2 linked regions of the Macaca mulatta genome follow. The protein of the gene in region 1 purifies or fractionates together with the protein of each later gene. This does not show direct contact. Links are inferred from orthologs where the notes say so. Each region holds a gene or a part of one and is shown on either strand. Other genes may lie near its edges.

What was found. Proteins that work in one complex are often made in the same cells at the same time.
Region 2: the proteins of DLAT (region 1) and PDHA1 fractionate together in Homo sapiens (co-fractionation; 3 studies listed by BioGRID). This does not show direct contact. The link is inferred for Macaca mulatta from reciprocal best matches to the Homo sapiens genes DLAT and PDHA1.

The regions. Positions count from the first base shown.
Region 1 is NC_133419.1:112,776,056-112,784,083, reverse strand, and holds the start of DLAT (dihydrolipoyllysine-residue acetyltransferase component of pyruvate dehydrogenase complex, mitochondrial), read right to left. Parts: upstream 4,221-8,028; 5' UTR 4,156-4,220; coding exon 3,877-4,155; intron 3,422-3,876; coding exon 3,320-3,421; intron 2,771-3,319; coding exon 2,646-2,770; intron 2,494-2,645; coding exon 2,340-2,493; intron 1,582-2,339; exon of another isoform or gene 782-1,581; intron 1-781.
Region 2 is NC_133426.1:19,089,063-19,096,578, forward strand, and holds part of PDHA1 (pyruvate dehydrogenase E1 component subunit alpha, somatic form, mitochondrial), read left to right. Parts: intron 1-856; coding exon 857-948; intron 949-2,264; coding exon 2,265-2,357; intron 2,358-3,425; coding exon 3,426-3,581; intron 3,582-3,754; coding exon 3,755-3,826; intron 3,827-5,974; coding exon 5,975-6,042; intron 6,043-7,211; coding exon 7,212-7,320; intron 7,321-7,516. UniProt on the Homo sapiens protein: The pyruvate dehydrogenase complex catalyzes the overall conversion of pyruvate to acetyl-CoA and CO(2), and thereby links the glycolytic pathway to the tricarboxylic cycle.

The DNA of each region.
Region 1 (8,028 bases):
CGTCTCTACTAAAAAATACAAAAAAACTTGCTAGGCGAGGTGGCGGGCGCCTGTAGTCCCAGCTACTTGGGAGGCTGAGGCAGGAGAATGGCGTGAACCCGGGAGGCGGAGCTTGCAGTGAGCCGAGATCGCGCCACTGCACTCCAGCCTGGGTGACAGGCTCAAAAAAAAAAAAAAAGCAACAGTGAAGTCAATAATCTCTATACAGGATCTTAAAGAACAGTATCAGAGATTCAGAATTCAATTCAGTATCTTAAAGAATAATTAAGGTAAAACCCTAGCACATGCACACAAAGCTACAGGCACAAAGTAGAGGAAAATTAAGTCAGTCTTGTATCATGAGAGAGAATCTGCCGAACAGCATGTAATACATGTGTGAACTGAACACCAGGCAAAAATCCTAAATGATTGTTACTAACAAACCACGGAGTAGAACGTTATTTCCAAAGAAGAAAATGATTCCTATACAAAAATTTCTACAAATAAACTAGATTCAGGAGAAATGCTAGTCAGAATTATTTAGAAAAGGATGGCTGGATTTTTATCCACTTGTAACATCTAAAGCACACAAATATACAGAAGATAACCCTAATACCTAATAAATTGACTTAGTTTCTTAGAAACTGATTTAGTTAGCACAATCAACAGTGATTACATTCACTGCCTTCAACTTTGTTGCAACGCTATTACCTATGTGTATCTTACACTTAATTTTTATCAGTTTTCTCATTTATTAATACTACTGGATTACTTCACCTACTCTTGGAAAATAGATCACCACATGTCAAAAGAACACCAATTGGGGACTTTCATTCAACAGACAGCACTTGACACCTATGATACAGCTTGGATGTTTGTCCCCTCCAAATCTCATGCTGAAATACGATCCCTGACTTCTGCTTCCCGGTCGGAGCCACGGGTGGTGGCAAATTCAAGCCCTGCTAACCCCATGGTGTTCTTTGATGTCAGCAATGGCAGTCAGGAAGTTGGCCGCACAAAGATCAAGCTCTTTGCAGAGTTGTGCCTAAGATGGCCGAGAACTTTGCGCAGTTCTACACTAGAGAATTCAGAAAAGATGGGGTTCCAATAGGATACAAAGGAAGCACTTTCCACAGGGTCATAAAGGATTTCATGACTCAGGGTGGAGATTTTGTTACTGGAGATGGTATTGGAGTCGCCAGTAATTATGTGGAGCCATTTGCAGACAAAAATTTTAAACTTAAGACACTCAGCTCCAGGCCTGCTTTCCGTGGCAAACAGTGGTTCCAGTACAAACGGCTGTCAGTTCTTTATCACCTGCTCTAAGTGCGATTGGCTGGATGGGAAGCATATAATGTTTGGAAAACTCATCGATGGACTTCTAGTGATGAGAAAGATTGAGAATGTTCCCACAGGCCCTAACAATAAGCCCAAGCTACCTGTGGTGATCTCAAAGTGCGAGGAGATGTAGTCCAGACCAAAACTGAATTAGGCCTTCCCTTCTTCTTGGTGGTGTTCTTCAGTAAGATAATCTGGACTGGCCCCTGTGTTTGCTTCCCTACCTGCTGCGGCCCCATTTGATCAAGAGACCCTGGAAGTATCGGAAATTCAGAATCCAAGATTGTGTAAATAAAGTTTTTTTCTAGGTGGAAAAAAAAATATGATCCCCAGTGTTAGAGATGGGGTCTGGTGGGAGGTGTCTGGGTGTTGGAGGAGGATCCCTCATGAATGGCTTGGTGCATGCCCCATGGTAATGAGTTAAGGGGAAATCTGATTGCTATGAAGAGCCTGGTACCCACTCCCCTCTGTCTCTTGCACCCTCTCTCATTATGTGACACACCACCCTTCCCCTTTCCCTTCCACCTTCCACCATGATTGTAAGCTTCCTGAGGCCACAAGAGAAACAGATGCTGGCGCCGTGCTTCTTGTACAGCCTGCAGAACCATGAGCCAAATAAACCTTTTTTTCTTTACAAATTACCCAGCCCTAAGTATTTCTTTATGCCAGAGTAAAACAGACTAACACAGCCTACTATAAACTCTAATTATACAGGGAATAGATGTTAGTAAAAATCATCCTCAAAATCTGTAATGTAATGTTCTTGAATGAAAAGTGCCACGAATTACCCTGTGTACTACACTGAGGCTGAGAAAGGTTACAGGAACTGTTCAAGTTCTTATAACTGGAAAGAACAACCAGGAAGAAAAGTTGTCAATCTTCATGTTTAAATTTCTATATACTCCCAAATGACAAGACCTAACTAACCACATTTAAAGTCAGTTTCCAAGATGTAGTAGCCATCTATGAAAAAAAGTAAGTAATAAATCACCTAGAGCAAACACTCAAAGGCTGAGCCTCACCTGCATGTGAGGGGGATATGAGCTACCAGGAGCCTGAGCAGAAGGTATAGGTGGCGAAGCAGTGGCAGCAGGGGTTGGTGCTGGGGCCGCCTGTGGGGTAGGTGCTGGCGAGGAATCCAATGTATAATTTTTAAAAGCCTCAATATCTTCAGGCCTAAGGAAGAGAAAGAATGCATAAATATAATGGGCAGATTCAACTTTCACAAAAGTAGTCTTAAAAAATAGTCTTTAACTCCTAATTCTCAATTCTGGGTAAAATACTCCACCAAGCAATGAAGTTCCATAAATTATGAGTGCACTACTCACTTGCCAACTGTGATACAGATGATCGCTCCAATGGGAACATCCCTGGTACCTTCAGCAACAAGTATCTTTGCCATATAACACTCCTCCAGGCTCTCAAATCCAACAGTGGCTTTATCAGTTTCAACCTTTTAACACAAAAAGCAGCAGCTCAGCTTTATACTGTCGGTATGTAGTTTATTAGCTTGTGTCTAGAATTTTTTTTTTCTTGAGACAGAGTCTCACTCTGTCGCCAAGGCTGCAGTGCAGTGGTGCAATCTCGGCTCACTGCAACCTCCCCGTCCCACGTTCAAGCGATTCTCCTGCCTCAGTCTACCGAGTAGCTAGGATTACAGGCAGAGGCCGCCATGCCCAGCAGATTTTTGTATTTTTAGCAGAGACGGGGTTTCACCATGTTGGCCAGCTTGGCCTCTGTGTCTAGAATGATACAGTTCATGTGACGATAAGGCCACTACGACAGATTTGAAAGAAGAAATTACTTTAGAAACGCGTTGGCTAAGTATCAGTTTGGCCAGCTGCTGGCAACTTATCCAACCAATCTTGTCTAACATCAAGTTGTGAAAAACACTTCAGTTTCTTAAACAAAGGGGTAACTACACATCCAGAAAGTCAATGTTCAGTCAATTCGGCAAAGCCAGTCTCTTCGAACTCATCTCCGTTATTTTAAAACAACTTACTTCTGCAATTAGGTCACCTTCGTTGATTTTGTCCCCCTCTTTTTTTTCCCAACGGGCTATGGTGCCTGCCTGCATTGTGGGGGAAAGAGAAGGCAATGGAACCTGGAAGAGAAAAAGAAGAAACATTAAATTTTTAAAGGGCTACCTAACTCTCAGTCTGGCTTAAGATTTCATTCAATTCAATTTCATGCAAAGTGTATCCAGTTCCATTACACACTGGGAACTAGGGATACCAAGGCAGTTTCTGCCCATGAGAAGTTAGTAATTTCCAGTGACAGGCTTTCTGCTCCACAGTCCTACGGGTCTCACAAAGCATGAACCTCGGCAGATAATTGCATACAGCCCCAGTCTTGAAGTTCCCCTTTCAACGGAATAGTTTCAACGGAATAGATCATGAGAGGGAAGCTAAGGAACCAAAGCTGACTACTGGACAAAGGACGAAAGCAGATACTGGGAATGGTTGGAGGATCAATGAGGCCTCTCAAGGAGGATCCTGCAGGCATCCAGTCAGCTCTGAAGGACAACGGGGATCCGAGAAGGGCGGGTCTAGGGCTCACCTTCTGATGCGGGGGAAGACTGTAACAGCGGCGGCCGGGCGACCCCAAAAGCTGCAGCAGTAGGCGGTTCCGCGGCGTGGCCCCAGTGCTGGGGGTCCAGCCGCACAGTGCCCGGACCCCTCCATACCCTGTAGTCGCGCTGTTGCGACGAGCCGGAGCCGGGCCAAATCGCGAGGACACTCGTGGAGTTCCGGGTACCTCCTGCAAGGCCGTCCACCGAGCCTCGAGTCCCGCCCATGGGGCTACATTCTGGGCCCGTCGCGCACAGACGCGCCACATAGTGCCACCAACCCCCCACACCCCAACACCAACGCCGTCTCCGGAGTGACCTCTCCAACAGCAGCGCGGCTTTGCCGTCAGCCACGCCGCACAGCCGCACGTTGTCGTAAAATGGTTCCCGCAGGTTTACTCCACCCGCTCCCCAGGCCAGAAATGCGCGGCACGCAGGCTTTTCCTCCCCTGAGCGGGGACGAGGGGCACTCACGCGGCAGGGGCGTTCCAGAGGGGCCTGTGCGGGCGCAAGTTGGGGACAAATAACAGACGGAAAGGGGTGGAAAGTGGTAAGGTCCTAGGGGAGGCATCCGAAAGGGTGAGACGGGGCCTAAGACATGGGAAGGGCACGACTGAGAGGGAGGGGCCTAAAAAGGCACCGAGACGAGGGTTAATTGCGGCCGAGTGGCCTGAGAGTCTGGGCCGAGGGGCGTGGCCAAGCTTTCTGGAAAAGCTGGAAGTGAGCCCGGGAACTGGCTAGGGCAGTGGGAGCCTCAGGCCAAAGGGCGGGGGTCTTGAAGCGCTGGGGTGGTGAAGGAGCCGGGAACCGCCCGCGAGGAAATCGAGGGGTCCAGCGTGGTGACCTCTGCTTCTGCGCATCCGAAGGGGGAAGGACTGGGCCCCGCCCCGCGCAGGCTGTACTGGTTGCAAAGATTTCATTTCAGGTTTGTAGCCCAAGTGGAAAGTGGAGTGAACAGGTGTTCCATCCAGCCAGGTGGTACGAAAGGCAGCCCAGAGGAAGAAACATTCCCACATTCCTGTATACTGTAGCAAGATTAAGCATATTCCCTGTATAAAGATACAGGTTTACAAAACAGGTTTGTGTTACCCCCTAACACCATAGAATTCTTTTAAGTAACCAAAAGCTTCGTTATGTTTCAAATGTTTGCTACCTAAACTTAACTGTAAGCTGTTGAAGGCAGGAAGAGTGCCTGCGTGGTTCTTCCATGTAGCCTCAGAGCTTAGTATCCACTAAATAGCGGGGGCTGATTGTGTCTTTGGAATCAATGAACAAAAAGTCACCTAGACGTTTTGTTAGGTACGCTTCTCTTGTAAAGTTGTCTTTTAAATAGGAAACATATCGTTTCTGAACTGAAGGTGACATTAAATAAGGAGGAAGCATATGCTGTGTATCACCGCCTCCCCAGTGTACAGATGGTTAGAGAACACCAAGAACACAAGAAGAAGTTGGAGGAAAAAATTGTTTAAAACAAGATTTTAGCCAGGAGCGGTGGTGCATGCCTGTAGTCCCAGCAATACTTGAGAGGCTGAGGTTGGGGAATCGCTTGAGCCCAAAAGTTTGAGACCAGCCTGGGCAGCATAGTGAGACAACCATCTCTAAAAAAAAAAAAAATTAAAAAAAAAAAAATCCTAATCTTGCTAACAATTAATTTGGAAAAGTAAAACAGATTGGATATACTGTTTCATGCCTACTTAAATTGGAATGTTTAAGCAGGTACAGTTGCCTATCAGAATAGTATGTAAGCAATATAATTGAGAAATATAAAATTTCCAGATTAAATGAAAAGGCTTATTTGAAATAGTATGAAGAGGAGGGCAATTATATTGTTACAATTATGTACAATTTATGAATTAACAATTGGAAGAAGCAATGGAAGAATAATTGTAATTAGTGAAAGGACTTATAAATTTTTACTATTATTTGGGGATGGAGTCTCACTGTCACCCAGGCTGGAGTGCAGTGGCATGATCCCGACTCACTGCAACCTCCACCTCCCAGGTTCAAGTGATTCTCCTGCCTCAGCCTCCCGAGTGCTGGGATTACAGGTACGTGCCACCATGCCCAGCTAATTTTGTATTTTTAGTAGATAGGGGGTTTCACCATGTTAGTAAGGCTGGTCTCAAACTCCGACTTCAGGTGATCCGCCCACCTCGGCCTCCCAAAGTGCTGAGATTACAGGGGTGAGCCACAAGCCCGTCCAGGACTTACAAATTATTATAAAAATGTTTTTGAGTTGGCTAAAATATCTTGCTGCTTTTGCTGCATTTGAACTTAATAACTGTTCACGCGTCCATGTGACGAGATCACCAAACAGGCTTTGTGTGAGCAACAAGGCTGTCTACTTCACCTGGGTGCAGGTGGGCTGAGTCCAAAAAAGGAGTCAGCAAGGGTGATGGGATTATCATGAGTTCTTACAGGTTTTGGGATAGGCAGTGGAGTTAAGAGCAATGTTTGGGGGCAGGGGGTGAAGCTCACCAAGTGCATTCTCAAGGGTGGGGAGAATTACAAAGAAACTTCTTAAGGGTGGGGGAGATTACAAAGTACATCGATCAGTTAGGGTGGGGCAGAAACAAATCACAATGGTGGAATGTCATCAGTTAAGCTATTTTCACTTCTGTGGATCTTCAGTTGCTTCAGGCCATCTGGATGTATATGTGCAGGTCGCTGGGGATATGATGGCTTAGCTTGGGCTCAGAGGCCTGACAATAACTGGATCTAAATTAGCCTTTGGTATAAAGTATGAGGTGATCTGCAGGATCTGCTGTGCACTTAGGTATGCTTGCTTAAACCCTGTTTTGCATTTTTCACAGAATAGTGAGTTTGTGCCCTGAATATAGTTTTGACTTAAGTGTAGCTAAATTATAGGAATGTATAGCTCAAACAGTCCAGAGATGGCAAGCTTACACCAAAGGTGGGCTAGGAATGTTTAGGTTTGTCAGATCAGTCCTGAGAGAACAAGCTTGAATTCTACTAAACAGATTGGATAAAGGAAATTATGGAAAAGGAGACTCAAGACTCAAAGGTTTGAAGTAGAGAGACTTAGAATGGTGGTATCACTGATACTGAGAAAGAGAAATTAGTTGGTAGTGAAAGATTTTGAGTTATGTACATATTTAATTTTAACATAATGGGATAGCAAATTAATAGTTGAAAATACATAATTGGAAGTCGAAGGCACTCAGGGATAAAGAATTTAATATAGCAAACATTTAAGTTGAAGTGATAAGAGGCATTTAACAGGCAGCTTTCAAATGATTTGGGAATTCTGGTCATTTTAAATACACATTTCTGAAAGAGTTCTTAATGTTTGCATACATGACTTTTGTCATAGAGTTTATACTCTTGGGTTCTTATTTGTTTGCATGTTTACATATAATTTCAAAATAATTGCTAAATAAATTGTCCTTGAAATAGCCTATGTACTTACACAGAAATACTAATTGTAAAATATCTGTGGCAATAAAGTAATCCTTATCTCCACTCCACATAGTGAGTAAACATGCTGCCAGGGAGATCACTTGAGGAAATTTGTTTTCACTAAATGTAAATGGCTTTATTGATTAATCTCATCAATAAACACAAGTGAAAATCATTAATGATATTTAGTTTGCAAACTCCATTTTATTCATAGTTCGTGGTTTTTTAAATTAGTTCACAAATCTGGTACATACTGGCAGTTAAAACTGGTTATCACTTTCATAATCAGAAGCCTCTGGTGTAACAAAGTCTTCATGAAAACATATTGTAAAACAGGGAGAATACACAGTAATAATCTCTTTGAAAGCAATGGCTGCAAACATCCATGTTTCTAAGAAAATATAACTTTACATATATATGTATTTTAAGCAAGCTATACCTCTTACGTAAATTCAGACAGAATGAGTGTGCAATCATAATGCTTATTTTATGGAAACAGTGAAAATAATTTTAATTATGACCTAAATGCTTTTAAGTAATTACAGTCCTCTTGGATTGGATATAGAGTATAAAGATATTTTCCCTAATTTGCAACCATCCTGGTCAAAAAGAGCTGAAAAGTTGTTAAGTAGAATTGCCGTAACCAAGTAAGTTTAAAACAAATTCTTCAAATTTAAAAATATCAAAATTGTAAAGTGTCCCAATCTCCCCAGCTAATTTAG
Region 2 (7,516 bases), on another chromosome or scaffold:
CTTCTTCTTTTTTTTTTTTTGTTTTGAAGACAGAGTTTCGTTCTTTTGCCCAGGCTGGAGTGGCTGGAGTGAAGTGGTGTGATTTTGGCTCACTGCAACCTCCATCCCCCAGGTTCAAGCAATTCTCCTGTCTCAGCCTCCCGAGTAGCTAGGATTATAGGTGCCAAACCACCACAGCTGGCTAATTTTTGTATTTTTAGTAGAGACCAGGTTTCAGCATGTTGGCCAGGCTGGTCTCGAACTCTTGACCTCAGGTGATCTACCCACTTCGACCTCCCAAAGTGTTAGGATTACAGGCGTGAGCCACTGCACCCGGCCCTCCTGGACTCTTGAACTATGGTTGTCCCTCCATATATCCAGGGGATTGGTTCTAGGACCCTTGAATATACCAAAATCCTCAAATACTCAAGTCCTGAAGTCAGCCTTCCATATCTTCGGGTTTGCATCCTGAGAATATTGTATTTTCAATCCATGTGTGGCTGAAAAAAAAAAATCTGTATAAGTTTACCCGTGCAGTTCAAACCCTGTTCAAGGATTGAATATATTTAGTGTACTAGTAGAGGAGAGGTCCTAAGATGTTGGTAACTGGTCAAAAAACCAAAAAAGTCTAGGGTACCATCTGGACTTTTGCTAACATCTGAAGGAAACTAAGTGACTGGAGAGTAGGAAAAGCTGGAAAGGTTGAAGCACATGGAACTAGTAAAAGGACAAGCAGAAACGTGTTTGCCTGGAGAGACAGGTACTTAGATGACTGAATTGGCCTCTGCGTTCTAATGGTTGAGCCACTTGGGGTGTGGTTTGGTTTGCTTTGTAGAGTTGGTTTGTGCTGCACATGTGTATGTTCTGCCATTTCCAGGACGAAAAGGAGGTTGTGCTAAAGGGAAAGGAGGATCGATGCACATGTATGCCAAGAACTTCTACGGGGGCAATGGCATCGTGGGAGCGCAGGTAGTCAAGGACGAGGACTGTGTGCTGCTTTAGATTTGGCCCTGGCCTTTGTCTTCAAAAACTTTCCCAGCCCCAGACAACTTTTCGTGAAGTAGTATAGCCATGTGCTGCACAGTGACACTTTGGTCAATGTCGCATATATGATGGTGGACCCATAAACTTATAATAGAGCTGAAAAATTGCTGTCACCTAGTGATGTTGTAGTGGCACAACACATTACCTTTTCTATGTTTAGGTACGCAAATATTTTGCCTACAGGATTCAGTACAGTCACATGCTGTGCAGCGTTGTAGCCTAGGAGCAGTAGGCTCTACCATACAGCCTAGGTGTGCAGTAGGCTGTACCTTCTAGGTTTGTGCATTACAGTATGGTGTTCACACGACAAAATAGCTTAGTGATGCAATTCTGAGAATATATCCCTGTTGTTAAGCGATGCGTGACTGTATTTTGGGGGCTTGGTTTGCTTTTAAAGACCTAGTGCTTCATATCCTACCATTTGAGCGATGAGTTGAGTAGATTTGGATGGTGATTTATAATGTTTCCTTTTAGGTGTCTGCTATTTTATAAGTAAGCAAGAGCCTCTAGCAGTGGAGCCTACCTTCCCCTTCCTATTTGTATTTCAGTACATTGCCTTATCTTGTCAACTTCATTATGGAGTCCTTGTTCTCATCAGTTAGTGGATGATGAAGAATTAACAGCACAAAATTATATCCCAACTGTTTCTCTTCCTAATATATTAAGATTCTATTATGTGTTTTTTTAAAAAACCTACTTTTTTTTTCCCCCTTTTTTCTTTTGAAATGGAGTCTTGCTAAGCCGCCCAGGCTGGAGCAGTGGTGTGATCTCAGCTCACCGCACCTCCACCCCCGGGTTCAAGCAATTCTCCTGCCTCAGCCTCCTAAGTAGCTGGGACTACAGTTAAGCGCCACCGTGCCCAGCCATTTTTTGTATTTTTAGTAGAGGCAGGGTTTCACCATCTTGTCCAGGATGGTCTCGATCTCTTGACCTCGTGATCTGCCCAAAGTGCTGGGATTACAGGCGTGAGCCACCATGCCCGGCCACGTTTTATTTTTTAACTCTTGAATGCAGAAATGTTATTGCTTACTGGTTAAAATAGAACATAGTATTTATATATTCCTTTACTGCTTCATTGAAAGTATCGGGGGTGGGATAAACAGAGAGATGGGGTTGGAAGGAGAGTTTGTAGCAGCAGTGTAATTTCTGTGCCAGATTCTGACCAGGAGTTAAAATGCAGGGCATTGATATCTCCCCTCATGGATTTCTATGGTTCCTTTCTCGGTTGTCCTTAATGTTAGGTGCCCCTGGGCGCTGGGATTGCTCTAGCCTGTAAGTATAATGGAAAAGATGAGGTCTGCCTGACTTTATATGGCGATGGTGCTGCTAACCAGGTAATTATGTCTCTTAACTTTCCAATAACGGTCTTATTTTCAAAGTGTTTAATATTCACAGTTGAATTTCCAAAGAAGCAGCTTATTGCTTATTAGGTGAAATAGTAATTCCTATGGCTAGCTCAAATTTGGTTGACTTATGGCCAGATTAGAGAGTGACCTTTTAGCATTGTTTCACAAAAGACTTAGGGGGGCGCATTCCTGTGAAGGAGCTCACCTTTGCTCTATATCAGTGCTTGATAAAGGACCTCCCCTAACCTATTGCAAAATGATACAGACCCATTCTCTTGGATGTCCGCGCTGGCAGTGTCAAATTCGGGTAATAGCGTCTCAGTCCTAATTCAGTTTTTGTGCTTCTCTTGGTACCGAGTAATACCCAGTCTGTGGCCGGTACTCTGTGAAGCCCTGTTCTAGAGGCTGATTCTTAGGTGCTGGTTCACTCTGACTATCCAGTGGGCCCGATAGATTTCATACTGATCTTTTTTCCAGTGTGTTCCTTACTGCTAGCATGGCCCCAAAGAAACAAGTAGTAGTTGGTTTGTCATCTTTCTTAGTTGCAAGAGTATGATGCCTGCTGCTTCTCATCTGTCACCCACCCCGCTTTCCCTCACCATCCAAAGCTCGGTTTTTTGGTTGTTTTTTTTGTTTTGTTTTTGAGAGAGAGTCTTGCTCTGTTGCCCAGGCTGGAGCGCAGTGGCACGATCTCCGCTCACTGCAAGCTCTGCCTCCCGGGTTCACGCCATTCTCCTGCCTCAGCCTCCCAAGTAGCTGGGACTACAGGCGCCTGCCACCATGCCCGGCTACTTTGTATTTTTAGTAGAGACGGGGTTTCACCGTGTTAGCCAGGACGGTCTTGATCTGCTGACCTCGTGATCCACCCTCCTCGGCCTCCCAAAGTGCTGGGATTACATGCCTGAGCCACCGTGCCCAGCCCAAAGCTCGGTTTTAGAAGAGGAGGCTTTCTGTGCTTTATGAAAGCTTTCTGTGCCAGGCAGAGCAGCAGCTGTTACAGATGATGGATCCTAGAGAAAGAAGCCAAATGAAACCCCTTTTCATAACTACTTCCAGGGCCAGATATTTGAAGCTTACAACATGGCAGCTTTGTGGAAATTACCTTGTATTTTCATCTGTGAGAATAATCGCTATGGAATGGGAACATCTGTTGAGAGAGCAGCAGCCAGCACTGATTACTACAAGAGAGGCGATTTCATTCCTGGGCTGAGAGTAAGGACACCTGTGGTGGGGCCGGGGCCAAGGCCAGGGGTATGTCCTTGTGCAGACCCTTGACAATCTTAGAAACATTGAAGAGTTTCGTTCTCAAACATAAGCAGGTGATGTGAAAGTAAAATGGTTTGGGGCAGCTGGATTCATGCTTCGCCCCTCCCGTTTATTAACAGGTGGATGGAATGGATATCTTGTGCGTCCGAGAGGCGACAAGGTTTGCTGCCGCCTATTGTAGATCTGGGAAGGTAAGACTCTAAAGGCCTCTGGGCTAATGACATTTATCTCTGGAAGTTCAAAGACTGCCTCCCGTGTGCCTGCTGAAGCTGTTAGTGGGTAGCTGCTAATTGAGGTGCACAAGATGGAAGCAGAGTGAAGCAAGCAGGGCTCCTTTGGGTAGCTTGGTCTTGGTAGCTCACCTGCTGGGAAGCCCACATTTCTCTCATTTGGGGGAAGTCTGTCCTGGTGCTTCCTCTGCTTTCGCCTGTCTTCATCATGACAACTACACTGCCTTTTTGTTAGGTTAATTCTGTCCCTCCTCCCCACCCCCCATTAATCATGAGTCCCTTGAAGGAACAGATTGGGGATCCCCGTAGTGTCCAGCATAGAATGTCATGTATACAATAGGCATTTAATATGTGTGTCTTACACAAACAGTATGGTTGAAGCTTGTAATCTTAGTCTTGCTCAGTCCTAAGGATCTTTCCCTTCAGTGTATGGCAGTGAGGGAGATGGTAACAGGGAGACTGGCCTAAAGAGGTTTCAGTTCCTTCAGCACTAGTATAGGCTTAGGAGGTTTAGGTGTTCTCCCTAAATTAGTGTTCCACAGCCCAGACACAAGGTTTCTGAAGTTGTCACTTCAGTGCCATACCATGTATGTTTGGGCAGTGATGCAAATGTCAGAAAGTGGGGAGACAGGGAAGTAAGGGTGGGATGTAGTAACATTAAATAAGAGCTAATGAGTAGAATGAACTAGAGCAGGACCAAGATGACAGCTTGGATACAATGGGCTGAGCAGTCTGTCAGGACCCTAAGGCTGGGAGTGCCAGGCCCTGAGTGATGGATATTGACCCCACCTCTCCCAATTCCTGAAAAGAATACATGGGGGCCAGCCCTGGCTGGAGACATGGTGATTTGTAGAATGTATGACTTCCCAAACACATAACCTTCACAATTCTGAGTTAGGTGTTACTGTTTTGCCCATTTTGCAGACAAGGAAACTGAGCCACAGAGCAGTTAAAGGTACATAGCTACTCTTATCATGGAGCCAGCTCCCCACTCACCCATTTTAACTACTGCACCAAACCAATCAAGGATCCTCAATGTTTCCCCATCCCTCAGTGTTCAGAGCCATCTCCTGGAAGTGGGCTAGTGTAGAATGAGCAAGCCACTTGGTGATAGACCCCAAGTGGTCATACTCCCAGCAGAGCCTCAGGGTTTGGGTAGCAGAGGTTGTTGGTGCCTGTCAACTTTGTTACACACTAGCAGGATCTGTGAAGTAGAAGTGGCTGCCAGCCCCACAACACACTACGAGAAAGGAGCATGAGATGGAAATCTGCCTAGCCAATAGCAGGAGGCTCTAGAACATGCTCAAAGCCTTTTTTTTTTCTTTTTTTGAGACAGAGTCTCGCTCTGTCCCCCAGGCTGGAGTGCAGTGGTGCGATCTCGGCTCACTGCAAGCTCCGCCTCCCGGGTTCATGCCATTCTCCTGCCTCAGCCTCTCGAGTAGCTGGGACTACAGGCGCCCGCCACCGTGCCCGGCTAATTTTTTTTTGTATTTTAAGTAGAGACGGGGTTTCACCGTGTTAGTCAGGATGGTCTTGATCTCCTGACCTTGTGATCCGCCCGCTGCTGGGATTACAGGCGTGAGCCACCGCACCCAGCTGCCTTTTTTTTTTTCACAGGGTCTTGCATGGTGGCACACTCACAGCTCACTGCAGCCTTGACCTTCCAGACTCAGGTGATCCAAGTAGCTGGGACTACAGGTACATGCCACCATGCCTGGCTAATTTTTGTGTTTTTTGTAGAAATGGGGTTTTGCCATGTTGTCCAGGCTGGTCTCGATCTCGAACTCCTGGGCTCAAGTGATCCAACCACCTCAGCCTCCCAAAGTGCTGGGATTACAGGCATGAGCCAACACACCTGGCCTTCAAAGCCTTTTTGATTCAAAACAAGCTGTTGGTAGATTGCCTTATTATAAATGAGAAGACTGAAATATGCAATCAATACATGCTAGAAATGAGAACAGATCAGTCAACCAATAAGAAATCCATGATACCTCAAAAGATCTGGTAAGAATACACTGGATGCTTAATAAAGGGCCTGCGTTTGAGGCCGTGGAGTGTCAGCCTGCTCTTCACGTCATCGTTCCTAACTGCCTACCACTTCTGTTTTAGGGGCCCATCCTGATGGAGCTGCAGACTTATCGTTACCACGGACACAGTATGAGTGATCCTGGAGTCAGGTGTGCTCATGGGCACTGTGGTTTCCAGAGGGGGTGGGCTTTGAATGGTGTTACATGGCAAAAGAAACACATTTCAATATTTGCTTTTGGAGCTAGATACCAGTTCACTTCATGCATGCAGTTGTGTTGGCATCAAGTTACCTGAAAGCAGTGCCTCCTAATAAGAAAGCTTTACTGAAAATGCCTACAATGTATAGTGTGTGTGAGCACGAGCAGTGATTTTTAGAGTGTTATATACCTTAATTGTGCAGGAAAATTGTTACATAAAACAAGACCGATGGTAGTGTAGTATCTTGGGGGCATTTAGCTTTTGTAGGCATTACCCCAAGTCCATGCATGGCATACTCCACCTGAGGAGGATCAGAATTTGGAGATGTTCTTCTGTCTGGTATAGAGCTAAGGGTAACTAGGTGTTCAATCCGTTCAAATACATCAATCAAAAAAGCTAGGTTTCACTAGAAAGGCATGAATTTTACTTTTTTGCTTAGCTCTGGCCTGTAATTCTGGAATCCCAGGGTTGACACAGTTGAATAAATAAGCCTTTGTAGAGTGGATTTCTAAGGGAAAATCATGTAGAGAGCACAGTATATGGAATAGATCCACTTTGTGTAAATCTGTTGTGGAAAATGGTAGAATCCTTTTAGTGTTACTTCAAATGATGTAAGCGTAAGATACATTGGTTTTGCTGGCTATGCTTCTTTAGGGGGGCTTAAGGGAGAAAGGCAAGGCACGTGGATTTCCTGCTTGGTGCTCTTAAAATCTATCACCACACACACCATCTCTGCTGTCCCCTCCCATGTAGTATACAGGAGCCCAAATGGGTGGGATGAGTGACACTTCTTTAGACCCTTATGTCTAAGTCAAAGAAGCAAGCAAAAACTTGGCCCCTGTTGTCAGAATGCCAGGGAAGCCACGTGACTTACCAGCGTACCGTTTTCTAGAAGACAGCAGTAGTTCTTACAGAATGTTAGGCTGTGCTCTGGTATTTTGAAAGTATAACTCTGCCACTCCTATAGTGACATAGCATTGATGTGCCCCTTTGTTTCAGAAACACACTTCTGTATTTCACCTAATTGGGACAATCCAACCCCATGTCATATTTCATCATGCTGTCCTTGCTCTACTGGAACTGTTCTTACTGATCGATTACTACTTTTCCCTCCCCATAGTTACCGTACACGAGAAGAAATTCAGGAAGTAAGAAGTAAGAGTGACCCTATTATGCTTCTCAAGGACAGGATGGTGAACAGCAATCTTGCCAGTGTGGAAGAACTAAAGGTACAGTCACTTGTTTGGTGGTTTGAAGGTTGGCTTTTTTTGCCTCCCACAGAAAAAGTTGCCACCCCCTGGGTGGCCACAGCGTTTGGGTGGGTTCCTCCAAGCCCAGAAAGTGATGTGCCGGGGCATAAATAATTCCGAAGTCCCTCGGGGTGGGGGCTTTTCCTTTAGTTTCCTCTATTCAAAATTGTATTAC